4 linked regions of the Lepisosteus oculatus genome follow. The protein of the gene in region 1 binds, or shares a complex with, the protein of each later gene. Links are inferred from orthologs where the notes say so. Each region holds a gene or a part of one and is shown in the gene's direction. Other genes may lie near its edges. The genes, in order: ccna2, cdkn1bb, rbl1 and cdc6.

Region 1 (7,790 bases):
AATGGCTGACCCTGCGCTCTGACCCCAAGCTTCTCTCTCCCCGTCTGTGCCTGTGTGTCTCATGGAGAGCAAGCTGGGGTATGCAGAAAGACAAATTCCTAATACAAGAGATTGTATATGGCTAGTAAAGTGATCTTATCTCTTATCTCAATGCTTAAAATGCAACAGAAAAGACAAGTATCTAATTATCCAAAAGGAAAATGTATTTTCTACTTATCGTGGAAATAATTCTTTAGGGTAGTTATTGGATGTTATGTTATGTTCTCTACCATGCTTTTTAATTTCAGCAGTTGTTTTCATGTTATAATCTTGACTGACATGTTATAATATGTTTAATTTTAAAAATGTATTAAAAAACATACTAGTGTCACTGCAGGAATAAAGAAAATCTAACTTTTTCTACAGTTCCGTATACAGTATTACATTTAAATGTTAATGGGTTTTTTTTGCAGGTATGATTACGGATCTCTTCATTGACAAATTCAAATTTAAAGGACAGAATGTCAAGACTAAAGTACCATTGCTGCTTGAAATCTTGGACAACTATGAACTGAATTCTTTAGTGGAATTTTTTGATTCAGCATAATACTGAGATGTAAACAAATCATTGAAGTTTCATCCAGTGTGGTATGTTTTTCCTAAGAAGCTACAGTAACATTTTTTAAATTTTGTGTTGTATTTTTAAGAAATGTTATTTGGAAATACAAGGGAAGTTATTGTTTCAGTTTTCAAAATATCATAATTTTCCCTGATACTTTCATACATTTTAACTCTGTAAAATTGATGTATTTATAAATGATATGTACAATAGTTGAAATGTAGTAATATGCATAGAAATTATATGGAGTGGTGTTCTTAGCAAGTACGGAGTTGGTGTTGCAATGAACAGTTCATACAAATATTTCTTCTGACTTATCATTCACATCTATTCCAAATACTTGAGCTGTATAGTGAATATAAGAATTTGATTTTCTAAATATATGTTAATGTTAATATTTTTCTATGTTAAATAATTCCAGATTAATTTATGTATACAGTTACCTTACTCTCATTGGGGCATATAACATTTGTGAAATAATCTTAAATAAACTTAATTATAAATGTTTAATTGTCAGTTTGAGTTATTCTATTAAATGAACAGTCCTGCTCAGGATAAATTAAGTACCTTTCAATGAAGAGCTGCAAACTATATGTCTGTCACTCAATAGTCTTGTGAATACACAGAAATGTTGTGATATGCTGAAGATTTAAGTGATTTTTCAAGATGAAATGTAGGTTATAATCAGGTGGGATGCTCTTGGTGATCAGGGGGGCATTTTAATATTGGATCTGCTGAATTAACACCTGGTGCAGAGCAACCCAGGGAAATTAATGAAAGTGCTTTCCTGCATTGAATTGTCTGCCTCCCAGGCTTTACAGGAGGAATAATTCAATCTTGATTGCAGCACAAAAGTGATTTGCAGGTACTTTAATGGTTTGGTGATGTAAATGCAAGGATATTTTAAATGTAGGCAATCTGTGATAGTGAAGAACCAGTGTCAAATAATTACTCCATAGGGATCATACAGACTTTTTCAGGAATACTATGTTAAGAAGAAGTAGCATTAAAATTGGCTATTTGATGTTCATTAGGTACAACTTCCATTAACACCATTAAAGATACATTATGTGCGTGAGTGATGTGTTTGTTTTTTTTGCAAGAAAAATATTATCTGTACTGTATCTGTAGCATAGGATCTTTGTGAATGTGTTGATTTAATGCATAGCTTTAAATTAACTACTAGTAGTATATATGTAAACTTGAAGAAGGCTCCTGAAGAAGGCTCCACGGCCGAAACGTTGTGTTCTCTTTCTTCTTTTTTTCAGCATGGAATAAACCTATTACTTGTTCCTTATGTGTAAACTACTATGTTTATATGTAAACATACTGTATACTATGGTAAACTAGACATAACATTTAATGTTTTTTTTAAGCCCAAGGATATTGTTTGTATTCACATACTAACCCTGGCTGCCAGCAATTAGTATATCAAAATAAATCATACAAACACCTGTTTTTTTCAAAGGTTCTTCTTCTGTTCCTGTTGTTAGGATGTTAAAAATTGCTTTCCAAGGAACGTTTTAATACATTTATTAAAAACTCCATGTAGTATTCCACATTTCCAAAGGTGTATTAATTCCTCCATTTTCGAACCACTTTATCCGATACAACCTTGCGAGGGTTCCAGAGCCTACCCTGGCAAGCAGCAGGCTCAAGGCAGAAAACACCCTGGACAGCATTGCAAGACACACAGAGACACACACGCGCTCGCACCTAGACTAGTTTCTTTAGAAGCTAATTAACCTATTAGTATGTCTTTGAACTATGGGAGGAAACCCCTGCAAACACATTTAAACTCCAAACAAAAAAACACCCCAGGAATTGCCCCCAGGGACCCAGCGCTGTGAGGTAGCAATGCTAACCACTGTACAGCCATGTTGTCCATGTGTATCAATACACAAGGGTTCAATTAATAAAACCTAAAATGTAAGAACCTAATTTTGAGGTGGCAAAAAAGCATCCGTATTATTTGTAACCACAAATTCATATCAGATTACTCTGAAATCCTAAATAATAATAAGTCTTACATCCCCTAAAACATCCTTAAGGGGATAAAATCACTTCTTCAGATCTAACTAAACACCCCAGGTTAACATCAGAAGTTAAGGTACTTATGTGCTAAGTTGAGTAGCTTTTTTGTACTTTTGTGGCTGATCTTGGAATTAATGTGATCAGTTAACTGGAACAATAGCATCTTAATTTGCTAATCCATCTTGGTGACTCCAATCAACAAGTCTACATTGCAGACAAATTAAGGCAATAATTAAGAGGTTACAGAGCCAAATCGTTTCACAGTTCTGGTTTGCAGTAATCAGAAAATGTGCCCTGGCTGTATTTAACATTTCAACTAATCCATCTTATATTTAAAATTTGAATTTGTATCATGGAAAATTCTGAAATTAAAACAGTTTAGGATTTAAAGTGGAACAGTGTATACCAATTATTGCTGTTATTACTACAGTTTATGTTTAGTTTTGTGGAAAGTGACTTTTAAAAATGATCCATTACTGTTCAAACTTGCAATTGAGGTAAATTGCAGCACATTGATTTTGTGTTACTTTACATAGCAACTAGGAGTAAGTAAAGATTTAACTCCACACTAAGAAGCAGAAAGAAGACATCGTTTCGGCTGTTGATCCTTGTTCGGGTGTATAAAGCACAGGAGGACAAAGGACTGGGAAGGTGAGAAAGAGTGCAAACGAAGGGAGGTCTGGGGGAGAGGTGTGAAAACCTGAAATCTGTAAATGAATGGAGAAATTCTAAAAAGACGAGGTTTGAGGAGAATCTTGGCTTCTCGTGTTTTTCTGTAGTAGGAGTCCCGAGGCCCCTGTAAAAAGAACTGTCAGTGAAATGAGAAACTATTGTGCTGGAGAGATCTTTGAGCCTCACTGCTCTGAACGGTATTTATAATACTTGTGTTTGTTGTAGAAAATATGTAATCAGGCCAGAAAAGAGGAACTTGATACATTCAGGGACGTAAAGGAATGACATACACTGACAGGCTGAAGGACCTTGAACAAAGAAGACCATGGGGGGACCTCACATAAAGATTTAAAATCCCCAAAGACATTGACAGGCCAACATCTTCAGCATGAACCAGAGGACACACCAGGAAACTATGTGGAATTGTATTTAAAACTGAGAACAGGGGACACTTCTATACCCAGGGGGTGGTGGGTGTGTGGAACAAGCTACCCAGCAATGTTGTTGAAGTTGTTTTCTTCTGATGTTCTTGGATCAATTAAGTACCAAACAGGCTAGATTGGCTAATGGCCTCTTCTCATTTCCACGCTTTTAAAAAAATTCTCCTGTACAAAGTAACTATACACACTTCATGGAAAATAACTGATGCCAAACCCTAAGTGAATCCTTCATTTTCCAACCTTTCTTTTTTTATTTTTGGAGTTATGATACAATTACATTTCATTTACATATAACAGAGATACATAAACACAAAATAAAATATAGCCTTTTTGTCCTTTTGAATAGTACAATATTGGACATTCTCAGTTTGCACATATCCACATTCAAAATGAATGGTAAACTGGACTTTCAAAAACCTTGGACTAATGCTGCACGTTGTAGACAACGTGGCCAGTTCCTAATGAAGTTTATATTTCAATATCATTAAAAAAATGTTTATTTCGGTACATTATAATACTTATGCATCGTAGGAAACTACTAATTATATAAAACTAACAGGAAATTCATCCTATTTTTTAATATTTGAAAAGGAAAATAACGTGCATTTAATGAAGTAGCATTTTTTTACTACTGTGTGTTGTATGAATATATACAATTGATGTCTATAACATTCTAGCTAAAACCTGGGGCTGTACCGTAATGGCCTAAAATGTGCTAAGTGAATCAATCAGTCAAAAAAAGATTACTTCGGCAAAATGTGAATTAATCACATCGTCAATCCAAATATTTAACATAACCTCAAGTGAAAAAAAATATATTGTTTGTTCAGATTACCCAAACACTTGAAACGATCTGTTATGACAGTAGATTTATAGTTGTTGTAATCAAAGTATAATACCGGTCGCTGACTCAATCATATTTGAAGGCTTTTGTCCCGGTTCTTGTGAGACTGAGCCCCAGACAGGAATTTTGGATGTCTGCGCCACCGTAGGTTTGGTGACGTAAAAGGTGAGGCCCGCTCGGATTGGGTGATTTCAATAGTCGCGGGCTACTTGAACAGAGAAAGCAGCAGTCCAGTAACTGCAGGAACTGGGGTTGGTGAGGAGTTGCAAGTTAATCTCTGGTTATTCGGATCGCTAAAAAACTGCAGCTCGAAAATACAAGAGACCCAGCATGGACAGCTGAAAGTGATACGTCTGGGGAGGCGGTGATCGGTTGTTTTTTTAAGTTTGTTTTTTTTTAATTCTAGACTTTGGGAGGGGTATTGGAGGACCTCTTCGTAGTAGAAGACTCTAACCCTGATGTTACAATTTATGTTTTTTCTGGTTGCTTGCTAGTTCATAACGTCACAATTGTTAACCCGGAACTACGGCGGTTGTTTTATTTTAAATTTTAGAACTTTATTTTAGCGTACTAGCTGAGCAACAATGTTTGGTATCAGTCGCGATCACGCTGCGAGTGACTTGCAGAAAAATCAAGACCGGGAAAACATGCTTCTTAAACAAAGGGCTGCTGCAAAACACCGGCTTGAAGATCAAGAAAATATAAACCCAAAAGCTACAAGCAGAAGTGTTTTGGGAGCTTTGCAGAACAACCAGAGAAGCGCAAGACCCCAGCTACAACAAGGAACAAAACAGGTTGGTCGAAGCTCTTTTAAATTAATAAACGATTAAATTATGCGATTTAAATCTAATCGGTGGTGATAATATACATTAGATAAACTTAATCTGAGGTTTTCGGTGTTTCATTGCGGTTTGCAGTCTATCGGTGTTGGTGCTCGTCTGCAATTTCTCCTTTAGTGTGGTTAACTTCTGAGATTATAGAAAGCCGTTCCGTTTTTAAAACGCACAGTGGTCAAAACACTTGATGTAGTCAAGGATCTAGATTAATCATAATTTATTACCTTAGCGCCACAGAGGCAAACAACTGTTTAAATGGCCATTTGGTGTTTCCCAGTGAACAGTCCGCCATTTTCAAGACGGCAGGTTACTGCTGTAACGAGCTCTACACATTGCAGAGACGGGATAAAATTGTGGGATCACTTGTTTTGAAGTGTACTAGTCAAGTTTTCGCTGACGTTTCCGAAGATTCTGGTTTCCCTTTTCCACGAGAAACTAATCGCGCGTCCGTTTTCAAAAAATGCATGCAAGCCATTTCTCAAGTTTAACTTAAAAGGCCGTGGTTTACGTTTCTGCATTAATCTGGATTTTTTTTTTGCATTAACCTGGAATTGCCAACGTTATAGGAACTTGGACTGTAATTCAGTGACCCGCCATTTTAGATGATTATAGAAGCTCTACCTGGCCAATATGGAAATGTATGTAAACGTCCACTAATACTTACTGACGCAAGATGTTATTGTTTTTTGTTCTCAGGGCCATTCGTGTCAAGTGCTGTCCTGCACAAATTCTGAGAACCATGGCCGGGATCCTTCAGAGAAGATGGGTGCAAAGCAGCCCGGTTTCACAATTCACGTGGATGAGCCTGATGGTGCTTGTACCAAGAAGCAAGTGGCCTCCAAAGCTAAAGTCCTCATGGAGAAGCCTCTGTTTACAATTAACCCCATCGCGGGGAACAGACAGCCCCTTTCCGTTATTGAGTGCCCTCTGGATGCCAGTTTTGGTAGGTGTTTCCTGAAACAAGAATGGCTTAGCTTTAAGGAGGTAGCTCCTTGGAGACTGACTTGCAATCAATGGGAAGATTTATAGTTTTAAACCAAAAGAAAACTTACCTCACTTAGCTAACAGTGCTTTTTACTCTTTAACCCTTATGTAACCAAGCCTAGGCTTTTGTAACAAGTGCAGTATACCCTACCACTGTAAAGAAAGAAAGCAACTTCTCATAATTCTAACTAATTTAGAAGTTGGTATCCATTTTAAATCATAATGGCATAACCCCATTGTACTAATTCTGGGCTGTACTTGCTATTTTTTCCAGATTCGCCAGTGGCTATGGACATGTCAGTATGTGATGCTGAGGAAAAACCAAGGGATGCAAATGAAGTGCCAGACTATGCTGTAGAGATCCACAAATACTTAAGGGAAATGGAGGTAAGAATGGATTTTTTTTTCCACAGGCAAACTTGACACTTATATTAGTTTGATTTGAATGCTTGTTGTGGGGCTTCAACTTCCAAATGAAGGTAGAATCCCTTTCCACTGAGGGGAGTATGACCTCCAGCTGATCCAAAACCTCTAAGATGGCTATGTACAGGGGGATTCCAAAACCCAAATGTTTTAACTCTTCATTTTAATTGTTCTCTTCCTCAGATAAAGTCCAGGCCCAAAGCTGGCTACATGAAGAAACAGCCAGACATTACGAACAGCATGCGAGCCATCCTTGTGGACTGGCTGGTGGAGGTGGGAGAGGAGTACAAGCTGCAGAACGAGACGCTCTATTTGGCTGCGAACTATATTGACCGCTTCCTGTCCGCGATGTCGGTCCTGCGGGGGAAACTGCAGCTGGTCGGGACGGCAGCTATGCTGTTGGCTTCGTAAGTCTCACTCTACCACCTGAAACCCCCTTTTCAGTTGATCCTCTTCCCCTTGTATGAGACCTGACTTGGTTCCCCATTGTGTTCAGGAAATTCGAAGAGATCTACCCCCCAGAAGTCACGGAGTTCGTCTACATCACGGATGACACTTACACTAAGAAGCAAGTGTTGAGGATGGAGCATCTTATTTTGAAAGTGCTGTCTTTTGATCTTGCTGCTCCTACAATCAACCAGTTTCTCACCCAGTACTTCCTTCATCAGCCAGTGAACCAGAAAGTTGAGAGCTTGTCAATGGTGAGTTGATGCCAACGATGTTTATTTTTATTGAAATCCCTGGTATTTCACTTACAGGTTTTTAGTTTCCAGAACATACATCACAGACCTTTTGTAGGTCTTCCTCTTTATTTGTTTTGCACTTCTATAGAAGTGCAGAGATGTACAGAATGCATTCATGTCTTCATACCTTGTTAATTTTTTGCAGTTCCTGGGGGAGTTGAGTTTAGTTGATTCGGACCCGTTCCTGAAATATCTCCCGTCGGTTACAGCTGCCGC
Region 2 (7,169 bases), on another chromosome or scaffold:
TATGAAATTGCCTTTATTGCATTTATGCTTTGCACACTGAACAGTCACGTTGAGGCACGATGGTACATTTGAAAAATGTTTAATATTCTGATTTACCCTAAACTTTCAGTTATATATATATAACGATCAATGTTTTCATTTCTTTGGTACTGTCTATAGAATCCACTCCCAGGCACAATAAGGCACACTTTAAATTCTTTCCCCTTAAGAAAACATGTCGGAGCAGACAAATTTATAGCTTATTTTCTTGGGGGGTAATTTCCATACCGTTTTGTTTAATTTGCGATATGAAATGCACTCATCGTTTACAACTGTGTACTTTGGTAAAAGCTGACCAAATGTTATTCTATATTTACAATACAGTGAGACTTTTATTATGATAAACAAACATAATTATATATTGTAGATGCAGGCAACACAGTGGTACAGTGGTTAGCACTGCTGCCTCGCAGTGCTGGGACCCTGGGTTTAATTCCTGGGGTGCTGTCTGTGTGGAGTTTGCATGTTCTCCCCATGTTCACTTGGGTTTCTTTCCAAAGTCCAAAGACATGCTGGTAGGTTAACTGGCTTCAGGGGAAAATGGTGCGAGTGTGTGTCTGTCTGTGCCTTATAATGAACCTTTGTCCCATCCAAAATATAACCCTGTACTGGATGAAGCAAACGGATGGCTGGGTTTTACAAGACCTTTATTCTAATTTCTAAAATAATCTATTGTGCAGAAAACAAACAAACAAAAAACATTAAAAGGTCAAACTGCATCCAAGGAGTAAATAATACAGAACAAGACATGTTATGACAGCCTATGGTCAAGAGATTATAATGCCGAAGCTAGAAATGCAACTCTTAACACAGCCTATTGAACTGTAGCCTACAACAAATAATGTGCCCGTAAAAGACATGTTGTTGAGAAAAAAGCAAATCGATATTTGCCTGCATTTCCTTGCTCCTAAAAGATCAATTCAGCATGATCAGCATTCTTTCCCCCCAGGGCATTACCTCATCTCACATGTTCTTCTGCACGTCAACTTTATGACCTTGTAAACTCTTTGAGTAAACAACACGCACAATGCCTACTGTGTGCCATCATTATGGAGGAATATGCCAATATAAAAAAGTATTTACTGTAGCAAAGTTTAATCTGACAGTGATAAGACAGTGCCAAGTATGACGAGGGCTTTGTGCAAGAGTTGAGCACATACATAGCATAGCAAAGCTAACTCTGCCTATTGTAACAAAATCACATCAGTGCCGGATCTCCCATTAGGCACTGTAGGCACAGGGCCTACGAAACATTTTTAGGGCCTACGAAAGAGGGAAACACTAGTGACTAACGAAAAACGAGCTGAAACAACACGCTTGTGCTCGACTCGAGGTGCTCCAAATCAATAGTCATACTCTATCTAGCGGCTGTTCTCTCGACTCGCTCCATCAATCACGTGGTTTAGCATCAGAATAGTTTAAAGTACTGTCATGTCAGTCGGCGTCCTTCAATTGGCATTTATCCATCTTTTTGGAGTGAAAGTGCCTAGGGCCTACAAACACCAAACTCCAGCCCTGAAATCACATCGAAAATTAGTTCTGGTTTCTAATTTTATGGTGATGTACTGTGAACCAGTTGAAGTATAGTATGTATATTCTGTATATTCTGCAAAGGCAAATCCCACTTTGCTCTAAATTTATTGTTTTGCTTTTTGTGCCACTTACTTTACTTTGTACCACTTATTTCATTAAGTTAGATTCTAATTCTCTGTTGTACCCTTATGTAATATTCCCACTGAGAATTACTGCTGTTCAGTAGCGTAAAATGTTATTGATGCAGCACTGTAGCTACAGTATATTAATGCTCATTATTGGCACCACTAATCTGTAACTAAAACAACTGTCCTAAAGCTAACCTTATCCCTAGCTCTCAAACTAACAATGCATTTGCACACGACTGAATCATTGTTCCATTTCCTGTGCCAGCGACATTGACCTTTTGAACTGAACGATACTGAAGGCCAGATTCTTGTTAAATGGTAAAGTGTACAAATATATTTTTCATATAACTGGATGTGCAGCAGGTCCTGCAGTTTTAAAGTAAGAACAGAAACATTTATTTAGGTGTAAAATATGTCCACAATATTGTAAATTCTGGTAAAACTGGAATACCACCTATTAACAAGAGCTGGTGCTACAATCTCAATATATTTAAATCCACCTACACAAAGTTTTATCAAGTGATGTGCCTACACACTGTTTATACTTCTAACAGATAGAAAAATTTGGTTACTTTACATCACAGTCTCACACCACATTCTTAACAGCTCCAAAACAGATTTAACATTTTAACTGTTTCATTATTTGGTGTGTTAAAAGCTTTAAATTAATCCCATAATCAGTTTTTTTTTTCTGTATTCTGGAATATACCCTTGAAAAGACATCACAACTGCAACATGACATAAAACATGTTCTAAATGTAAATTTATAAACACGTGCCAAAGGGTCTCTTCATTTTATTTGAACCTGTACTCCTAAGGTCAATTACTTACTGACACAGCTTTAAATTGCTACCATCATCCACTCTTTAAACGTGACAGACCTCAAGTCAACAGTGCCAGTAGTATCACTGCAATAAAAAATATGTAAGTGACATCATAAACTTTTAACAGCAGTATTTAATTATCATGGTACATAATCTAAATAAGCATGAAACAGAAATAAGAAGAGAAACCAAATCACTCTAACATTCAACACGCAGAACAGATTCGAAATTGGAAACATTTGTTCCTAATTCTAGACCTTTGACTTTCCTGAAGTCTTTGCAAAGTTTTTCCCCCCTTTCCAAAATAATTTTTTACTAAATGTATTTATTTTTTTAGTTATGGGAGAAAGTGTTAGAACACGGTAGTTTTAAAGAGTGATAGTAGACCATTCTCTGAATATAGTACATTTATTATCCAAGGGATCTTTTAACGGGAAGCGTGAACCAAATGCTTTATGAGCGCCAAGTTCTTAATGAAGCTCATTATTTACTCATATGGTAAAACGGAACAACGCGTTGTTTGCTGCCGTGATACACTCAGTAACAGGTTTAGACTAAAAAGTCAATTTTATTACACAAAACAGCACAATTAATCATGTTCAATTATTGCATTGCCCGAGATTTTTACTTGCCACGGGAAACGTGACTCCGCCAAATCGTTTATTGAGCAAGGTTTTCGTCAATTAGTAGTGGACTAATAAAGGAAAAGTAAAAATGATCATTTCCACCGCATCCTACTGTACATTGGCACGGCACCATAAACATTGCATTACTACAGTTCAGCCGTACCCCTTTAAATCGACCCTAAAATGTGGCAGTCAAGCTAACAGCCTACTAATAACTGCCCCGTCTACCCAACCCATAGTATGATGGCGCTCAACCCTCTCTATACCTTTTTCTTTTTCGTTTCGTGGTTACTATTCCTTCGCCTGTATCACTCTCTCTGCTCGGGGAGTGACTTGCTTATACGTAAACAAAACACTTTAGATCATAGCAAGGTTGCTGCAGACACGCAGCCCCCAGTTTTCAAAAGCAACAAAACGCATTAAGGTGGACTAGGGGAGTTATCCCAAACCACCCGTTTCCAATCGCCTTTCGGGCGCCTTGTTTTGCTACAAAATGCAACGTGGTGCACGCCTGCGGAATTTATTCACGTTTAACACCTATAAGCCTTTGCTAATGCCAAGTCATGAGAAAAAAAAAACGGCTTGAGATTAGGGTCATTTATTCTTTCACGTCTCCAGAGTACTGTAGGTCAGTGGGAGATATTGCCCTTTTTTTTTTCTTCTGTATTAACGTTGTTGGTATCTGGAAGCGACTTTGCTTCCTCCGGCTACAATTCCTACTTCCGCCAAAACAAAACAAGCCTACCAAAGCTGGGCCGATCAGAAATCTGCGGATTTAAAGATCGCCGCGGAGGAATTTTTCCAAACGAACAAGAGATTCCGATGCATTTGGGCTTTTTTTTTTTAATGATACGAAGCTGCAGAGACCGTAGAAACGAAAAACAGCGGTGCTCACCTTAAGAAACGTGGGCGTCTCGCTTTGCTTTAACCAATGAATCTCCTTCTCTGTTTAAGTCGATCTCGGTGTCAATCATTTTTTTTCTCAGTCAGCCTCCCTTCAATCGCCATATTGGGTACTGAAAAGGCTTGTCTGTTTTTTTTTTCCCCCCCGTCTTACTACAAGACTAAATTGACAGGAGTGGCTTTTGCAACTGCACTTTGTTTTGATGGTCTGCGGAGATTACTTTTGCTCGCGTTACAGTTTTCGCACGTCTTTTTCAGATCACGGCATGCCTGCGCTGGCGTTGTTGCTTGCAATAATATTTGGCGTTCGTGTCGGATCGATTTGAAGGAGGCGAACAGAATTATATATATATATTTTCATTTACTCTTGTTGTTTTTTTTTTCCCCCTGGCGTGGAGAGAGAGGACAAAAAAAATGTCAAATGTCCGTCTTTCAAATGGTAGCCCGACGTTGGAGAGGATGGATGCGAGACCGTCGGATCACCCCAAGCCGTCGGCTTGCAGAAACCTCTTCGGGCTGGTGGATCACGAAGAGTTAAGGAGAGATTTAAAGGGACACTTGCAGGAGATGGAAGAGGCGTCCAAGGCGACATACAATTTCGATTTCGCGAATCACAAGCCCCTTTCGCCTGGGAGATACGTGTGGGAAATTGTGGAGGATACGGAGGTACCGCGATTCTACACGAAGCCGTCACGGGCGTCGAAGGGCATCTGTCCGTCTGGGAATATCAGTTTGGATCTTAATGGGAATCACAGCTGTGGGGGGACTGCGTGTCACGAAGGCACTGGGGACAGGCTTTCCGGGGACAGTGCGGAGAAACCGGCAAGTCAAACGGATTGCAGGGACCAGCGCACTACGCCGAGGAAAAGATCAGCAAGCCATGGTAGAGATCAGCTTCACGTTTACGAGAAAACAAAACAACAATAACAACAACAGCAAAAAAAAAGATATCGGGTGTATTTATTTTGGGTCGCCGATCTCACGGTTTCGGGAAAAAAAAGTCCAGATTTTAATTTTTTGTTTTTAAAGTGAAAGGCGTTGCGCGCATTCGAGGAGGTTTTCTTTTGTTTTCGTCTTGTATCTTATTTGATGTCGCGCTAATCGGAGCCGCGTCGGAGTGTTTCCGAGAGGCGAGTGGAGTTGCGTGCGTTTCGGGGGCGACCCGAGCGCAGGCACGTATCGCATGTCCGGCTGTTTTTCGTATTTTGTTTTTCATTTTTGGAGGTTTAAATGCACACGTAGTTGTGACACCGTCACATCCCCCCCCCACCTCCCACCCTTGCTGTTTTTGAAAGGCTTTTTTACTACGGCATGCAAATCCTGCGGTGGCGTGCGGGCGTCCAATTTTGAGACGGCGGACCAAAATACCGCCTGCCCGCCTCTCAAATGGTTCTGTTAAAAAAATAAATAAGAAATGCTAATCGGTGAATTTTGTCTTTCCTTTTTGTAGCGGACTCATCGCAAAATAAAAGGGCCAATACTACCGTGGATGAAGTTGCCCTGAGCCCTAATGTAACGAGGTCAGAGGAACAAACGCCCAGTAAATCCAACCCCAGGCAACAGAAGTGAAGATTTTAAGGTACCTTCTCGTCATTTTAATGTCTTGTAAAAAACTATAAACGTTTTCGCAGACGTAACTCACTACCGCGCCGCTTTAAAAAAAAGCTTTATGTTTCCCTGAACTGTCATTTTCTGGAAAATCTAGTCGCGTTGTCTCTAAATTGGTCAGGACGTTATGGTTGATTTCATTAGTGCATTAGTGTATGTTTCTCGTCGGCCGTCGCTAAACAACAGTGCTGTAGTACAGTTTGTAGTTAAAATAAATACATTTGAAATATGCCTTTAAAACTGTTACGGGGCTGTTTTTTTTCCCCCAAAAAAAAACGTTTTTCGTAGTTTTCGGGGAATGGTTAATACACAGCAGGTGCAGTCGAATTAAATTCATCTCTGGGTTTTTAGTGCTAGGCGAGTCTCATCCTGAAGAAGAACAGGCCAAAAACCTAATGCAGGCATAGAAAACTTAGGGCGTTAAATTTAATATTGTCTTGGATTTTGTTGGTGGAGAAACAGTGGTGTTGTCCAGGGGGGCTTCGTGTGTTCTCGCTGTGGGAGGGAGCGGGTTAAAATTTGCTGCGCCGCTTTTATATCATCCATTCAGAAAGGATGGCCGGGGGTGGGTTGTGGGGGGGACGGGACGGACGCTGGAGACATTTCAGCTCACGATCACTTGAAACACAGACGCAAACGTGTAAAAAAGGGGTTAAAAGCAAACAGATCTGACGTGTTAACTCAAGAGCGCTGTTGCCCTCCGAGAGTGAGCTCCCCTCGTATCTGTAAACAAGCGCCTGCACTGAACAACAGTAGTAACACGTCAGCAAGAGAGGCTTTGACTGGTGAAGGGGTTGGCCCAGTTTTCTTGCTTCTGTACCTGTTCCAATCTGAGAACGGCAGCGAGCACTTTCGCTCACAGACCGCTCCGTGCGTGCTTGCAAAGTAAGGTTCGCCAGTAAGGTACTACGAAAGTATTCACATTGCATCTGGGTGCGTACTTGTGAACCTTCAGAGGTTATAAATCATTGTGCGAACTGGTTAGCCAAGAAAGTAGAGATGTCAAATAAACATAATAGTGCTTTTGGGGAGATGCAACTGTTATTTATTTTTTTTTGTTCCAGGCACTTATTTTTAAGTGATTTTTAAAGGCTGTGATAAACAGATTTTTTTCTTTTTATTGTTGGGAGGCAAAACAGTGTCCACAGCTAATTGCTTTGCAACAAGTTTTATGTGAAATGTAATTGGATTGGATTGCAAATCTGTTTTATAAAAAGTGCCCCAGTTGGAAGATTTGATTTTTTTTTAAGTTTTGGGGGATAGAACCCTAAGGTAGGGATTTGATTTAATTTAGTAGCCTCCTTTTGTGTGCAATTTTTATTAAAGGAAACTGTAATACAAACTTGTTCTTAAGTGATACACAGATCAGTATTTTGGATCCTTCTTTGATTTCATTCAAAGTGGCTTAAAACTCCAGAGCACTGTGTCAGAGGATTGCTTACAAAGATTGAAAGCCTATTTTTCAGTTTGGTGCTAACGTGTCGTGATGCTGAATATCATGTTTTCTC
Region 3 (7,515 bases), on another chromosome or scaffold:
CAATTGATTGAATTGTTCTGTAATTAAGAGCTCTGTGACCCTCAAAGACAGAATTACAGTTGTCACAGCAGCGGTGCTGCACTGCTGCAGGAGTGAGGGAGATGATGAGCGTCAGTGCTGCGCTGCTGCAGGAGTGAGGGAGTAGATGAGCGTCAGTGCTGCGCTGCTGCAGGAGTGAGGGAGATGATGAGCGTCAGTGCTGCGCTGCTGCAGGAGTGAGGGAGATGATGAGCGTCAGTGCTGCGCTGCTGCAGGAGTGAAGGAGATGATGAGCGTCAGTGCTGCGCTGCTGCAGGAGTGAGGGAGATGATGAGCGTCAGTGCTGCGCTGCTGCAGGAGTGAGGGAGATGATGAGCGTCAGTGCTGCGCTGCTGCAGGAGTGAGGGAGATGATGAGCGTCAGTGCTGCGCTGCTGCAGGAGTGAGGGAGATGATGAGCGTCAGTGCTGCGCTGCTGCAGGAGTGAGGGAGATGATGAGCGTCAGTGCTGCGCTGCTGCAGGAGTGAGGGAGATGATGAGCGTCAGTGCTGCGCTGCTGCAGGAGTGAGGGAGATGATGAGCGTCAGTGCTGCGCTGCTGCAGGAGTGAGGGAGATGATGAGCGTCAGTGCTGCGCTGCTGCAGGAGTGAGGGAGTGGACGAGCTGAGTAAAGATTGAAGGAACAGGTGGGAAGTTTCCCCTTGTGTCCAGTGCAGTGGAGGAGTTTCTACTGAACACGAAAGGACTAATGCACCAGCAGAGTGTTTAGCTTATTGTAAAGTTTTAGGGTGTCCTTTCTCCTGTTTTACATATGAAGGTAGATTTGATAAATCTATTACTTTTAAATGATGTAAAATCTATATTTTATTTTTACAAGGTGCCCTTGTAATTTTGTTTAATTCATTATACTGTGTTTGACACAATCAGGACCAGTTGTCTCCATGCTTGTAGTACTGTCCTTTCCACTTCATAGTTTTACCTCTCAGTAACTTCACACCTCGTTGATATACTAGTGTTTGGCATCTCTCTTTATTTTATACTGAGAGGCGTTTAGAAAGGCGATGAATGTTACTGGATTTGGTATTCATTTGTTGCGTTTTTAAAGCTTCTGAGTCCGTTTGCAGCTAAGCCACTTTGACAGAACAGTTGATTTTCCTGTGTTATGTTACATGTTACATGTTTTTGCACAGAGAAGCAGGGCGTGGCAGGCTCACTGGCATCTGGAGGTTTTCTTTGTGGTTTTCCTAGTGTGGAAGCTCACCTGGAAACTGTGCCTCTTCCTCATCCACAGCAGGTTCGCACTGTCATCAGTCTCACTTTTCACAACTAGCATTGATGTTGCCTTGAAACAGCTGGTGGCTTTTTCCTATTTTCTTATTTATTTTGTTTTTTGTTTTTGCTTTTGCCAAACGTTACCAAATATAATGAGAAACCATTATCATTATCGTCCTTTGTTATTATTTAGTTATATTGGAAGTACAAAATGCCTTATTTAGAGTTATGCCTATGGATGTTTCTGTGCATTTCCATATTTGAAAATGTATATAAAAGTACTTAGTGTAGAACTTCATTTTATCAAAACTGAAACCTGGTCTAAGAATCTCACTGGCCTGAGTTCCTTGAAATTTCCCTTTAGTTGTATGCATACTTTTTTTGCTTTCTTGGTAACCTTTTTGCTTCTGGATTTAAAAAGCAAAACGCACAGTACATAATAATAATAATAATAATAATAATAATAATGCAAAGACAGGTGTTCCAATCTGATGCTCTTAATATTTTCTCAAGTGATCTCATAAGCACAAAAATCTGAGGAATTTCACAGATCTCTGCTGCAAGTTCACATGAATGTTCTTTTGTTGGTGAAAAGTGATTTTAAGCGATCCCTTTTTTGTGCTTCCCAAAACTGTTAGACTGCCTGAGCATGGTGTTACTAATTCTGAGTAACTTGGCACGTTTGCGTGTCTTCACCACCGTCATGATACTTTTCAAAACCCCGTTGAGCTTGGCAACAGAAGGTGTGTGCATACAACTAAACTGGGTGGCGCAGTTTTAGTTTCCTGCCCCTCTGACACAAGTCTGGCTGGAGCGTTTGGACTCTCCTCAGAAAAAAAGAAACAGTTCCCTCAGCTATCACGTCGGCGTCGCAACACGAAGACAGTGGGACAAGCCCAGCAGCAGCTGACCATCATCACCCGCTCACAGACAGGACCTGTTCCCTGCGTTTGCTGGGAGAAAGACTTGAATCTCTTCATTGGAGCAGTAATTAAGGGCAGCCGAGGTCACAGAAACTGTTAGTATTTATTCAGTTTACATTCTGTCGTTTGTCGCTATTTACCATGTTTGTATTTTTTTTTCTGTTACAGTCTTGCTAATTTATCCAAAGGTCAGATTGTTTTTGGAGTCGTGTGTATTTCAGATGTATTTATTGTACACTTCTTTCTTACCAGTATCATTTTTATACCTGTATTCTAACTTATAAGGGGTTCAGAAGGAAAACCTGCAGGATCCAAATCTCTTTTCGACACTGACGCTGTTAGTTTTCCTTAAAAAAAAAAATCTTATTTTTGCCTCCAGTGGAAGCAGGGATAGTTTGCAGCAGATTAAAAATGAAACTTTATTGTACTGAATAATGAATTACTAGGCAAAGAATATCCAGGCTGTCTGAGTGTCTCACTGTCTGTGACTGTCAATCATAGCGTCTGTGTCTGTGTACTGTATTAAAGCACCTCCAGTTAGACTTATTTCCTATGTGAGTCGTTTTCCATTAATAAATAAATGTGAATAACAAGCTATTTGAAAGTGGAGTTATAATAAAAAACATATTTATATTCTTGACCTGCAAGTTCTTATTTTTATCCAGAATTTTTTTTATTTCTCATTTTTGTTTAGGTCAGGTTTTTGTCATTTGTAATTAGTTATGCACTGGTATCCCAGCACCTGTACTGTACTAGTTAGAGCACAATACTAAATAGTACATAGTATAATTAGTAATGTAATCCTACAACACTAAAATCACTTATTTACTCCAACAGAAAGGAAAGAGGTTTCCTTCTGACACAAAGCCCTATCGTTTATCAATCATCACAGATTTATGACTCTCATCTTCGGCTGATGGTATACTTTAGTAACTAATAATGTGCGATCTGTTGTTCTAAAACAGGGCTCTTCAAGGTTAATTGTCAGGAAACATTTTGGTATTTTACCGAATTTGTCCTTGTAAATGTCCCATTGGGTGGCACTGTGACACTGTGGTTAGCATTGCTGTCTCTCACCTCTGGGGCCCTGGGTTCAATTCCAGACCTGGGGGTGCTGTCTGTGTGGAGTTTGTATGTTCGGCCTGTGTTCATGTGGGTTTCCTCCCACAGTCCTAAAAAAATACCGGTAGGTTAATTGGCTTCTGGGAAAACTGGCCCTGGGTGCAAGTGTGTGCTTGTCTGTGTTTGTGTCTGTCGTGAGATGGATTGGCACCCCATCCAGGGTGCATCCTACCGGAGGCCCGTTGCTTGCTGGGATAGGCTCCTGCTCCCCCGTACCACTGAACTAGAAGAAGTGGTTAAAAAATGGATGATTATAAAACCCTGACATCACTGGCCATGCCTAGAGCATAAAGTTAAAACGAGCTGGTGTGTCTTCTTGCAAGCACACATTTTGTGTCAACAAGCAAAACTGTCAGCTTAATTCAGACAGTGTGCCTCACAGAGCCCTGTTTAGTACGGTGTTTAGTTCTGGGAGTTTATTGCATGAACAGACAGTGTGATGCTCAGATGGGGCTAAAGGTTTTTTGGACCACAGCCACCTGCACTGGAATTGTAGTTTTCTTTTAATGCAGTGATGGCCAGTGGTTAGCCACCCGGGTGTAATTTTTTTTTCTCCCTGAACCCAAGACTATTCCGGATTGTATGCTACAGAAGCAGAGTGTGTTCTGTGTAGATCTGAAATCTGCCTCTGCAGCTTTTACGGCGTTAGTTTTTATTTTGTTGAACTAGCTCCTGTATTCCCATGTGGACCAATCACATAACTCAAAACATGGTATGTGATCTTTTATTGTGCAATAAAAGATGACTTTCAACTTTCACTTTAAGTGTGCCTTCTGCTTTTGTGTTAGGGGAACATAACCTGTAAGAACAGAGCAGAGTTGAACAGAACAGCTAGAATGGAATATGAATTTACAGTCTTTTATTGTTATTGACTTTGCTAGCATAAGCAGATTAAAGAAAATGACTGCAAGCTGAACCAAATTACGTGAATGTGAAGTTCAAGAGTTTTCTTTCAGTGATTTCTAATTGGACAGCAAGCATTGAAATATACCTGATAAGGACACAAGAAATCTTAATGAGGGGAGACTATCTAGTGCATTCACCTCGTTTGACTGGCAGTTTGATGTCATTGGGTGTCATTTAGCTCTATTCTTTGAGGAGCTAGGGTGTTACATTCAACAGCATGGGTCTTAGTATTTGTCACTGTCAATACCACAGTTCTCACCATAAGATACTCTCATTTACAATTGAGTCTTTATTATCCCCGGGGGAAGGGGCAAGTTGTTTTACAGCAGCAGTGTTGGTGTACTGACGTACAGAAGAAAAAACCGACAGGAACAACAAAATACATATTTGCATGGAAGTCAAGTGTTAAATAATGATATGGTTACGGGTATGAATGATTTAAATCGTTCAAAAATAATCTTTTAAAACATTGGAATAACCTAATTACCAAATTCAGAGTTGACCGACTTCTCTATACCTTTATCCAAACTGTTAATCTAACGGAGGACCGATACAGCACCACATTAGAGACAAAGACAGAAACTTCGGTAGACTACAGTGTGTATCCTGGGGCCGCCATGTTTGAGCGGCGGCGGTGGAGGACGGGGTGGATTTTCGCGCCACTGGGGCCGCGCGGCATTGTGGGATAGCGGTCCTGGAGCCGGAGGGACGGAGCGGGGGGCTGCGCTGAGGTAAACAGGCTGCGCTTTCGGCGAATAGACCCGGCGGCGGAGAAATGCCCGAAGTCGGCACGGAGGCCGGGTCCGAGCCCCGGAAAGTGGACGAGGGCCACGTCCGGCGGACCCTGGAGGCGCTGTGCCAGGAGCTGAACATGGACGAGCAGACGGGCAAGGAAGCCCTCCAGAGTTTCACGGCCATCTGGGACACATACACCCTGGAGGTGAGGCAGACCCAGGATGCGCCGCCGCTGCGACGTCTTTACGGGTTTTATTTTTTTAATTCCAAACGCAGTAAGCGCCCGGGAAGCTCTCTTCGGCAGTGTCCGTGTGTGTGTGTGTTTGTCTGTCTTATTGTCGTTTTGTGTTTTGGTGTCTCTCTCGCCCCCCTCCCCCCGGAGGTCGTTGTTAGCGCGCAGCCGGCGGAATGAACTTCGGCAGCTGAGCTGCACCGCCAGGGTCGCGCAGTCTGTAAACAACACACCCCCGTCTGTCCCCCCGAAACGGGTCTGTTTCCCCGCACCCCCCTGTCTTCCGCCTCTCCTGTGCGCAGCGGAGGAGCAGGACTGTGCCCGCCCGGCGACTCTGTGTTTGTTTACGTGGGGGTCCCGGCTGACATCGCTGGCCCAGCCCGGTCTGTTGTGTGCCGGCAGCGTCAGGGGGAACATGTCGGAGTTCCGATGTGATTTCCGAACCGAGGACAGGGGCTGGTCGGGGCTTTAAAGGGAAGCGAGGGGCGTGTGTGGGAGACACGGGGCTGCCGGGGCGCCATTGGCCGGCGCGGCGCAGGGGGGGGACGGCGTGTGTTGTTGTGTGTTGTGTGTTGCTCTTGCTTGTGTTCGTAGTGGCAGGCTGTGCGCATTTTCAGTTCGAGGTCTCGAAGCGCGAAGTATTTATTATCTCAGAGGCGCAGGTAAAGGTGATTTCCAGGCTGAAAAGGAAAGCAGCGTTTTCTCTGCGGAGCCTCCTTCATGGGGCACCTCTTTTTCAGCAGGGAATAAACCTTTACCTGTTCCTTTGCAGCCTAGGAGAAGATAGGAGATCACCTCATTAGCCATACACAATTTCTTCATAAGAAATACATTTTAGCCTGGAATAAATTTGTCTTTTCGCATACACCAAGTTGCTCTCCATGAGACACACGGACAGGGAGAGAAGCTTGGGGTCAGAGCGCAGGGTCAGCCATTGTACAGCGCCCTGGTGCAGCTGGGGTTAAGGACCTTGCTCAGGGGCCCAACGGAGTAGGATTCCTCTGCCGGCCACGGGATTTCAACCGGCAGCTCTCCAGCCACAGGCGCAGATCCTGAGCCACAGAGCCACTGCTCCGCCTGCGCATGCTGATGCAGCCAGCTACTCGTATTTCTTCTTGGTAACAGTGATGCTTGTTGGGGAGTCGGTAGGTGTTCAGCATCTTTTTAAACTCGGAGCAGTCTCCCTCCCCCCAAAGAAAAATCTGACCAGGCTGGAATAGACATTCTTGAAACGCAAGCTGACGATGGCTGTACCCTCCCATCTGTGATATGAAGCCCACACCCATTCACGCATGGAAGGAAAGACAAATCCAGGAGCTCTGTGACGGGGGAGAGGGGGGTTTCCTGTTTATCCTGTGTGTAGCTGCTCTGGAGGTTCTGGTCTGTGATGCTCGTCCTAAGGATTGTTGTTATTAGGTTATACCATGTATTTATTGTTTTGTTTATTGTCTGTACATTCTGTCACTATGTTTTGTAATGTATTGTGTACATTGTGTGGTATCTGCTGTGCTGCGAATGTCCTGAGAGAATAGTGTGGATAAGAATCCTATTGTATTTATGGGAAATAAGATAATATAATAATATTCTGCTCATCCTGCAGGGTGAAGTGGCACACTGGCTCGCCTGCTCTCTCTACGCCGCCTGCAGGAAGGGCTGGACCCCCACAGTGGGCAAGGGGGTCATGGAGGGCAACTGTGTCTCCCTGACCAGGATCCTGAGGTCCTCCAAGCTCAGGTGAGCCCCCACTCTCCCCAGGTCACCGGATTAACCTTAACCGTTACCCTTTTCCGCCCATCTGAACGCCAGCACTGCTGCTGTAAAACAAATTGCCCCCTCGGGGATAATAAAGACTCCCTCTCAGAAAAGACCAACTAAGAATGTTTGTTTTTTTATTCATGTGGTCTAGAAAAGCTGTTCTAACATGTGTCTCTGCAGTTGAATTCCCCGACATAACCTGCTCTGTTTTCTGTCTCCCCGTTTCTTGTCTCTCGCCCGGACCCCAGCTTAATACAGTTCTTCAGTAAGATGAAGAAGTGGGCGGACATGTCCAGTTTGTCCCGGGAGTTCCGGGAGAGGATAGCACGCCTGGAGAGAAACTTCGAGGTCTCGACCGTGATCTTCAAGAAGTTCGAGCCAATATTTGTGGACATGTTTCAGGATCCTCAGGGGGAGCCGCCTCGGCCGGCCCGAAGCAGGAAGCACAGGTACGACCCCCTCTCTGTCCCCGCGCGGCCTTGGAGCCGCCATCCCTGCAGCAGCTGGAGCGTGGGGTAGTGTTGCTGTTTACTTCAGAATGGCCAGTTCCTCTCTTCTAATACTCCACCAAGGTGGGACTGATGTTGTTAA
Region 4 (7,137 bases), on another chromosome or scaffold:
AGAGGAAGGCCAAGGGATTTTATTTTGCCACATTGTCATGCTAGAAGCCAAGGTCTGCACTTTTAGCCCAGTTGTGCTGCAGCACTTGGAAGCTCCTGCAGAGGGCGCCGTGGAGCCCGCCAGAAGCCCTCAGTGCTTGCAGGGTACGAGGGTGGGGGCACGTGACCTTCCTTCTTCCGTCGATCTCTCGACCTCTGGACACTTAAAAAATAGCCAGCTGTAGTAACTTTACTTGAGGTGTTGGGTTTCATTTTTTAATTTTTTTTTTTTTATATCTATGGCCACTGTCTTTGCACACCCCTCCTCGCCACAGCCCATGATCGCCAGTGGGATCCCGACTGGTTTTTGACCCTGTTCTGTTGAGACCAGCAGGCATCACCTGCCAGACTGGCAGGACTCTGCAAGGAACACTCTCGCTGCTGGAGATGTTATTTCACGACAGCAGGATCCGCGATCCTTGAGCTGGGAGCGTCTCGTGGTTCTTCAGCGTCCTGCGGACGGAAGGAGAGGTCCCCCTGGAGCTCCTCCAGAGAGCAGGGGGGCCTGTGGCCCGTGTGCGGTGCTGTGCTGGACCTGACCCGACTGGACCAGTCCCAGCTGGACCCTGCTGCGCCCCTGAGCTTCCACAGCCCGGCCGCACTCAGGAAGGGCGGAGAGACTCCTGCCCCACCCAGTGCCAACGCGCGCTCAGTGCTTCTGCATCCTGCGCCCAGATCTGCGCTGCTGCTTGGCGAACGGCCAGCCAGGTGGCATGTCTGCTTTCCAGTCTTATTCTGAAAGGCTCCCCGTGCAGAAACCTGACCCATCGGCCACTCTCTCTCTGTCTCCCCCCCCTGCTGAGGCAGTGAGAGAGCCCAGCTGGACCGAACAGAACACTCCGGGCCAACCCCGCAGTCTGCTCCGTTTTTCCTTCCCTTCTCCCAGAAGCGCCGGACACAGTTCGCCTAAGGGATGGATCGGCCTCGGTGGAGAGTGTGGAAGATTGGACTCTTTTCATGATGGGCGGCTGTGTGAATCAGTAGCGGTGTTGGATGAGACAAGCTTCAGGAAAAGTGCTTTTGCCTTTGTCAAGCTTGGCCACTTCTGCGTTTCGCTTGGCGGGGGGTGCGGGGCCAGGGCGGAGCTGGGGGTCCGGCTCTGCAGGCTGCCTGCGGAGGCGAGGGGTGGCTCTGGTGTGTCGGGGGGTTGGAAGGGCAGAGGCAGGTACTGGGGGTCTGGGGTACTGCCCGCTGCTTGGTGTGGTTTGACCTCTGTCAGAGTTCAGGCATATGCATTCATTCCGAGATGTTTTTGAAACGGTTTACCGCTCAGGTCTAAAGGCAAATTGTGAAGCTCTCCTTGATATCTAAGGACATCACTAATGGACTAAATTCTCTTAACAGTTTGCAGATTGAGGCTGGTTCTGCAGTCGGTCACTCCTGGGAGTTGTGCAGGCACCAGCCTTCAGCAGAAGTCATAGACCTTAAGGCTGGTCTTGCAGCAAGTGCATCATTACTGAATCATTATTGCAGTGTTAGTGTACCTTATAGGTGACTGTAGCCTTTCAAAAGGGTTGGTTTATCAGCTTCCCTGTGTCCGGACTGTCAGCATGCCAGTGTTCATCATACATCATACAGTAGGCCATTCTGTGCTGTAGGTTCTTGCTCCTGTCAGTGTCCTATAGCTGTGCAGACATGGTAGGGTGGATGTTTGCACAGCCACCTTTAATGTGCAGCCTCTCAGTTGCACAGATCAGTGCTGATTTGTTTAGGTACTTTAGTTGCAAAGGAGACACAAGTTGTCCATCCTGAGAGGGCACTGGAGCAGGTGAATGCATGTACTCTGGGACAGCTGGAGCGTAATGCATGGAAATGGGGTGTGCTTGAGGTACCCCAACTCGCCTCACCTCTGCAGGATTGTGTGTGTTGGGGGTGGGGGGTGGGGGGTCACTCATTCCTGGCTGTTGGCTGCTAGTTCTGCTTCCACGCCTGCTGCCCCAGGTAAACTGGTCATCTTCTCAAGAAACCCGCCGATCGCCCTCCCACGTGACCTGAACTCTCCGAGCTCGCGGCGCCCAGGGGCGGCGATGCATGAACTCTTGGGGGTCCCCGTCTTCCCGGACTGGATGCTATGCAATGGGGGGGGGAATTGGGGTGGCTGGTGTCAGTGGGGTCTTGTTTCGGACACTAACCTGATGCATTGGAAGACTGTGCCAGTGATCCTGCTCTGCTCATGTTAACAGTGTTTTTCCATTCTCTTTTCCCTTGGTGTGGGGACTGGGAGTGTCCCTTTCCCTCTGCTGGCCTCCCCCTCTCTCTGCACACAGAGGACGCCTAGACTTCTCTCCTGCTCTTATTTTTAAAAGATTAATCTTAGTTGGTGTCTTGCCTTATACACTACTATTGTTTGTTGGTACAAGATTTATCAAAAATAAATGACGATAATAATGTATATTTACACTACGACTATGGGGAAATATGGTAATCATAGCTATTGATCTATTTTTTATGTTGTAAAAAGCTTGTAATATAGGAATAAAAAGGTGGGCTTGTACAAAGCCAGGGACCGATTATTAGCCAGTGTCTGTATCCGTTTCTGTCTATCGCTGTCCGCCTCACTCACACCGCAGCTGTTACTGGGGCTGCTTCGCTCGCAGTGAGGGGGGCTCCTGCCCGTGTTCAAACGAGCTTCTGTGTCTGTCCTTTCTTTCAGGGCCATTTCATTGTACCTGTCTTGTCAGCCACGTTGTACCAGTTCAAATAAAATGAAGATAAAAACGAGTGTGTGAGTCACGCGTTCGTGTCCGCGTTGGCAGGGTCCGGCTGCAGGAGTCCAGCTGGGGCGTGCAAGCCCTTCACTCGAGGTTTCTGCAGCTCTGACCTGAGCTGGGTCTTACTATTGGAAACGGAAGAGCATAGAGTGATATCGGATTTTCGTTTCTTTTTCTTTAAGCTTCACCATGTTATGCTCGGAGTTAATGGGATGATATTTTGTGAAAGCAGTGTTTCCAGCTCCTTGCAGGACAAGTCTAGAAGTGGATTGGGAGAGTTGTGCGAGATGAAACGCTGCCGAACGACAAAAAAAATACTGCAGGAGTATCGGACAGTGTCTGTCTTGTATCTGATCATCGCTTCAGAGACGGGGAGAGCCACATGCTTCATCTAAATTGCAATATTCGTTTTGCTACACGTTGTGAATAAGTAGCGATTATTGCTGAAGGTAAGAAACGAGTGCGTGACAGTTAATATCACGCACCTAGGTTAAAGGTTAGGTTGTTTTAAGGGCTCATTGAAGCAAATTTCGGGAGACGGGTTTGTTGAGAGCCTTTTAAACGCAGCCGGCGTGCACCGCAGGATTGTAATCATGCGTCAGCATGCGTAGGCTGCCAAGGAAGAAGTAACAGGTTTATTCCAGGCTGAAAAGAGAAGAGAGAAAACACGTTTCGGCCGTAGAGCCTTCTTCAGCTGTGAGGCTGAGCCTCAGGTGTCAGGCTCACACCTGAAGAAGGCTCCACGGCTGAAACGTTGTTTTCTTTCTCTTTTCAGTATGGAATAAACCTGTTACTTGTTCCTTTGCATCCCTTCATTAATGCGACTTCCTTCATTGCCCAGTCAAAATGAAGTTTATGTTGCAGATACTGTATTTAAAAATATAACTGACAGTAATAAGCATGCAGACCGGCAAACGCGCCTATCCTCTTATTTTTAACTTATTTTAAGTCATGCCGCGAAAATGACCCCTTTGACAAATCTCCCGCCACTGCCTGTACATCCAACAGCGCATCATAACAAGCGGTAGCCAATGGCAGGGCGTTGTGTAAACAGCCTGGGTTTTGTAGGCGGGTCGCCGATGCAGTCGACCAATCAAGCCTGCGGCGCTCCTTCAATCGCAGGACGTAACTGCCTCACTATCCAATCAGGCGAGGAGACGGGCTGCTCGGCGTGTTTTCCCGTGGGTCTCTGGGGAGACTCTCGTTGGTTCACAGGGGAAGGAGGGCGTGGTGCAGGGGGCGGTAGTTTACTGGATTCTCACCAATGAGAACTTGGAAAGTGCGGACAAAGCCTGAGGCTGCCCAATGAGGGCTGAGAGGAGGCGTTCCCGAGTCCAAAGCGGGAGGAGTTAGGAGGCTTTGGAAGCTTTTGGCGCTAATCGTTCCTGTATCTCAGAGTTTGCAACAGGACACAAGACAGTCCTTTAAAAGGGTTCCTAGGAGATTAAATTGACCGATATTTTAAGGTAAGTGGAAATTATAGTTCTACGTATATGTATGATCTCTTCGTCTTTTGTCTTTTCTTCGGGTCTTGCCTAATTCAAGGGTAAATGGTCATTTTGTATGGCGCCAACTCTTAAATAGCAGCGATTACAAATGATTACAGTTTCATACAGCATCACAGTGCCAATACAGACACTGATCCTGTCGTAACCTAACCTAAGTCCTAACCGTTCGCTTGGAAACTTGTTAGAAACGGGGCGCTGTGTAGTGATTAAAAACTGCAAGCGAGAATGTTTGTGAGTGCTGCTGGCCGTGGGCGCCAGTAACCGCGGGAGCCAGTCTTCGCTATTCTTACAGAAGACAGGGTTGACAGAGAAAAGGAAGGTTGACTGACCTGACCTTCTCTGGAGTTATTACGGTTTTCTGCTCAGTATTTGTTCGGGTCACACGGGTTTTCTCCTGTAAACACACGTGGGCGCCGGGAGTCTCCAGGACTTGGCGCCACGACCGCAGGCCGGCCTGTGCGACTCCCGCGCCCGTCTGCACAAGGATCGCTCCCTGAAATCATTTACAAAGCTTGGAATTTCCCCGTTTGCAGTCGGAATGGCCTTCAGTGGTGCAGTTTCAAGGCTGTAAAGCTCCACACTGCAATACCCGCGGTCCAGTTTGCGTGATAAGCTGCTGTTTGGATTGGGTATTGATGATCTAGCACATTCGACAGCAGCCGCGCAGATCCTCCGGTAACTCTGGGTTTGTTGGGGTCTAAAGTCTTCAGACGCGATTTCTAACGAGGTTAGAGCCTGTGTGTCGTCGATACTGTAGTCTGTTTACGGCGATGCAGGGGCCGGACAAGGGCTAACGGGCCCTGGAGAGACTCTGGCGAGAGTCGTGTCACTCGGGCGAGTGAAATTGAACTGTGAAACCAGTTTCTTCGCCTGTGAACGTACGTTTCCCACGAGATTCAGGACCTTCAGTGAGAAAAAGGGAACAATAAAGATTAAGTTTCTTAAAGATATTTCAGACGCGGGAACCTATTGTTGTAGGAGTAAGACGCGCCACTGTTACGCCGTGACCTGGCGTCGAGCATGAATGACGTCAGTGTTGAGCAGAGGTTCCTGGGCCCGGTGAACCCCCACACCTGCTGGTTCTGATCCAGCCGAGCCCCTTCACTGACGTACTACTAATAAGATTATTTTGCCCTTGGTTTTTTCCCCCAGCTCTTAAACATGCTGGTGATTTAACTGTTGTATTTTGTAAAAACCCAATCTTGTGATTGGAAACAAAATGTAAATATTCAATTGAAGCACCTTCTTAGCTCAAGTAAGGCATCAGTGATCTAATGAAAGCTTGCTGTAAAGGTGCTAGCTTGTCACTTCCTGTCCTGGTTCTGCTCTGAAGACTCAATCCCGCGCTGAAGGCTGCTTCATCTCAGACCCGCTGTCTCTGTGTTGCAGATGCCCACCACCAGGTCTCGCAGCCAGCCCACGCTCCAGTACCCCCGCAGGAAGTCCTCCAGGGCAGCTGCGGCCAAGCCCCAGCCTGTCGCCCGAGCCGAGCCCCCGCCCAGCGGGGCTGTGCTGCCACTCAGCCCGAGGAAACGCCTGGGTAAGGTCCCCTCGATCGCCGCGTCTCCCGCTGTCGCCTGCGTGGGGCGCCAGGTCTCTGCTCTGCTCTGCACTGCCCAGCTGCAGGGTTAGTCAGAATCGCTCAAAGGCTGGGTTTAGCAGCCGGTGGTGTCGCTGTTAGTTCTTGTTAAAATGGAGCATGATTTACTTGCAACACCTTGAGAACTGTAGCCCCCATATATATCTTGCATGAATTCTGATTCTTTAGGGGCATGGTGTTGCAGTGGTCAGCACTGTTGCCTTACAGCGCTGGAGTAAGCACCCCGAGTTCAGTTGTGGTCCTGGGCTGCTGTCTGTGTGGAGTTTGTATGTTCTCCCCAAGTTTGCTCAGGTTTCCTTCTCCTAGAGTCCAGAGACATGCTGGGGGGTTAACTGGCTCCTGGGAGAATGTGCCCTGGGGTGTCTGTGTGCGTGTCTGTCCTCCAGCAGACTGGCTCCCCTGCCAGGGTGGGCCTTGTGCCTGTTGCTTTCTGGGACAGGCTCTGGCTGCCCTGGATTGGAAGAGCAAATGGATGGATTGATAGTCTGTTGAAAGTGCTTCTTGTTTGTAGCTGAATCGTCAGATTGAAGCTGAGCGACGGGTATTTTCAAACTTATTTTCCGACGGCAGGTGTTGCTTTGCTGCTGGGTGGCCCACTAGTGGGAAGCCGAAGGGTTTGGGCGGGTGCTGATGCTTTCTTTGGGGGGTCTTCCCTGTGCAGGAGCTGAAAATGGGTGCAACCTGCCCCCGGGGGTCCTGGGATCCCCCCCGAAGCAGAGCCGGCTGAGGGACCCCTCCCCCGCGCGCGGGTCGCGCAGGCTGAGCTTCGACGAGAACGTGCCGTGCCGGGACGCGCCCTCTCCGGTCAAGCCGGCTGCTCCCAGCTGCCCCGCTGAGGTGCCGAGCTCCCCGAAACTCGGGACCCCCCAGCGGGCCTGCACCACCCCGACAGCCAAGGGGTCCCCAGCGCGCTCCCCGTTCCGCTGCAGGCAGGAGACGCCGGGCAGCTCTCCCGCCGGAGCCCAGGGAGAGAGGCGCCCCCCCGTGGTGCGGCTCTTCGCCAACGACAGTGAGTTTCCTCCGCCCCCCCCTTTCCTCTCGCCGCCTCTCGGGGGTGCTGCCCGGGCTCACTGTCTGCCCCCCTCCTGCAGATTCCCGCTTCCAGCAGGTGAAGCAGGCTCTGCACACCTCCCTGCCGGAGAGGCTGCTGTCCCGGGACCGAGAGAGTGCCGTAATCCGCTCCTTCCTGTGCGAGAGGGTCAAAGGTCGGCGCCCGGGCAGCCTGTACATCTCCGGAGCTCCGGGCACAGGCAAGACGGCCTGCCTGACCCGCATCCTGC

Evidence for each region.
Region 2: the proteins of ccna2 (region 1) and cdkn1bb are in contact, whole or in part, in a crystal structure (PDB 1JSU), measured with the Homo sapiens proteins. The link is inferred for Lepisosteus oculatus from reciprocal best matches to the Homo sapiens genes CCNA2 and CDKN1B. Residues at the interface, in NP_001228.2 of Homo sapiens: Met210, Ile213, Leu214, Asp216, Trp217, Glu220, Val221, Glu224, Met246, Arg250, Gly251, Lys252, Leu253, Gln254, Leu255, Tyr280, Ile281, Thr282, Asp283, Thr285, Tyr286, Thr287, Gln290, Arg293, Met294, His296, Leu297, Lys300; in NP_004055.1 of Homo sapiens: Lys25, Pro26, Ser27, Ala28, Cys29, Arg30, Asn31, Leu32, Phe33, Gly34, Val36, His38, Leu41, Thr42, Asp44, Leu45, Glu46, His48, Cys49, Asp51.
Region 3: the proteins of ccna2 (region 1) and rbl1 are in contact, whole or in part, in a crystal structure (PDB 1H28), measured with the Homo sapiens proteins. The link is inferred for Lepisosteus oculatus from reciprocal best matches to the Homo sapiens genes CCNA2 and RBL1. Residues at the interface, in NP_001228.2 of Homo sapiens: Met210, Ile213, Leu214, Asp216, Trp217, Glu220, Glu224, Arg250, Gly251, Lys252, Leu253, Gln254, Tyr280, Ile281, Thr282, Asp283, Thr285, Tyr286; in NP_002886.2 of Homo sapiens: Gly654, Ser655, Ala656, Lys657, Arg658, Arg659, Leu660, Phe661, Gly662, Glu663.
Region 4: the proteins of ccna2 (region 1) and cdc6 are in contact, whole or in part, in a crystal structure (PDB 2CCH), measured with the Homo sapiens proteins. The link is inferred for Lepisosteus oculatus from reciprocal best matches to the Homo sapiens genes CCNA2 and CDC6. Residues at the interface, in NP_001228.2 of Homo sapiens: Met210, Ile213, Leu214, Trp217, Glu220, Val221, Glu224, Tyr225, Arg250, Leu253, Gln254, Glu277, Tyr280, Ile281, Thr282, Asp283, Thr285; in NP_001245.1 of Homo sapiens: His89, Thr90, Leu91, Lys92, Gly93, Arg94, Arg95, Leu96, Val97, Phe98, Asp99, Asn100.

What each region holds. Positions count from the first base shown.
Region 1 is NC_090696.1:10,719,419-10,727,208, forward strand, and holds the start of ccna2 (cyclin-A2), read left to right. Parts: upstream 1-4,785; 5' UTR 4,786-5,172; coding exon 5,173-5,382; intron 5,383-6,120; coding exon 6,121-6,367; intron 6,368-6,682; coding exon 6,683-6,795; intron 6,796-7,014; coding exon 7,015-7,238; intron 7,239-7,327; coding exon 7,328-7,532; intron 7,533-7,719; coding exon 7,720-7,790. Other genes in the region: bbs7 (Bardet-Biedl syndrome 7 protein), read left to right, coding at 453-586. UniProt on the Homo sapiens protein: Cyclin which controls both the G1/S and the G2/M transition phases of the cell cycle. Functions through the formation of specific serine/threonine protein kinase holoenzyme complexes with the cyclin-dependent protein kinases CDK1 or CDK2.
Region 2 is NC_090702.1:5,914,501-5,921,669, forward strand, and holds the start of cdkn1bb (cyclin dependent kinase inhibitor 1Bb), read left to right. Parts: upstream 1-4,165; 5' UTR 4,166-4,467; coding exon 4,468-4,936; intron 4,937-5,503; coding exon 5,504-5,622; 3' UTR 5,623-5,632; intron 5,633-7,169. UniProt on the Homo sapiens protein: Important regulator of cell cycle progression. Inhibits the kinase activity of CDK2 bound to cyclin A, but has little inhibitory activity on CDK2 bound to SPDYA. Involved in G1 arrest. Potent inhibitor of cyclin E- and cyclin A-CDK2 complexes.
Region 3 is NC_090711.1:748,594-756,108, forward strand, and holds the start of rbl1 (retinoblastoma-like protein 1), read left to right. Parts: upstream 1-4,510; 5' UTR 4,511-4,977; coding exon 4,978-5,142; intron 5,143-6,769; coding exon 6,770-6,903; intron 6,904-7,172; coding exon 7,173-7,373; intron 7,374-7,515. UniProt on the Homo sapiens protein: Key regulator of entry into cell division. Directly involved in heterochromatin formation by maintaining overall chromatin structure and, in particular, that of constitutive heterochromatin by stabilizing histone methylation.
Region 4 is NC_090723.1:9,685,916-9,693,052, forward strand, and holds the start of cdc6 (cell division control protein 6 homolog), read left to right. Parts: upstream 1-4,126; 5' UTR 4,127-4,215; intron 4,216-5,646; coding exon 5,647-5,797; intron 5,798-6,518; coding exon 6,519-6,866; intron 6,867-6,948; coding exon 6,949-7,137. UniProt on the Homo sapiens protein: Involved in the initiation of DNA replication. Also participates in checkpoint controls that ensure DNA replication is completed before mitosis is initiated.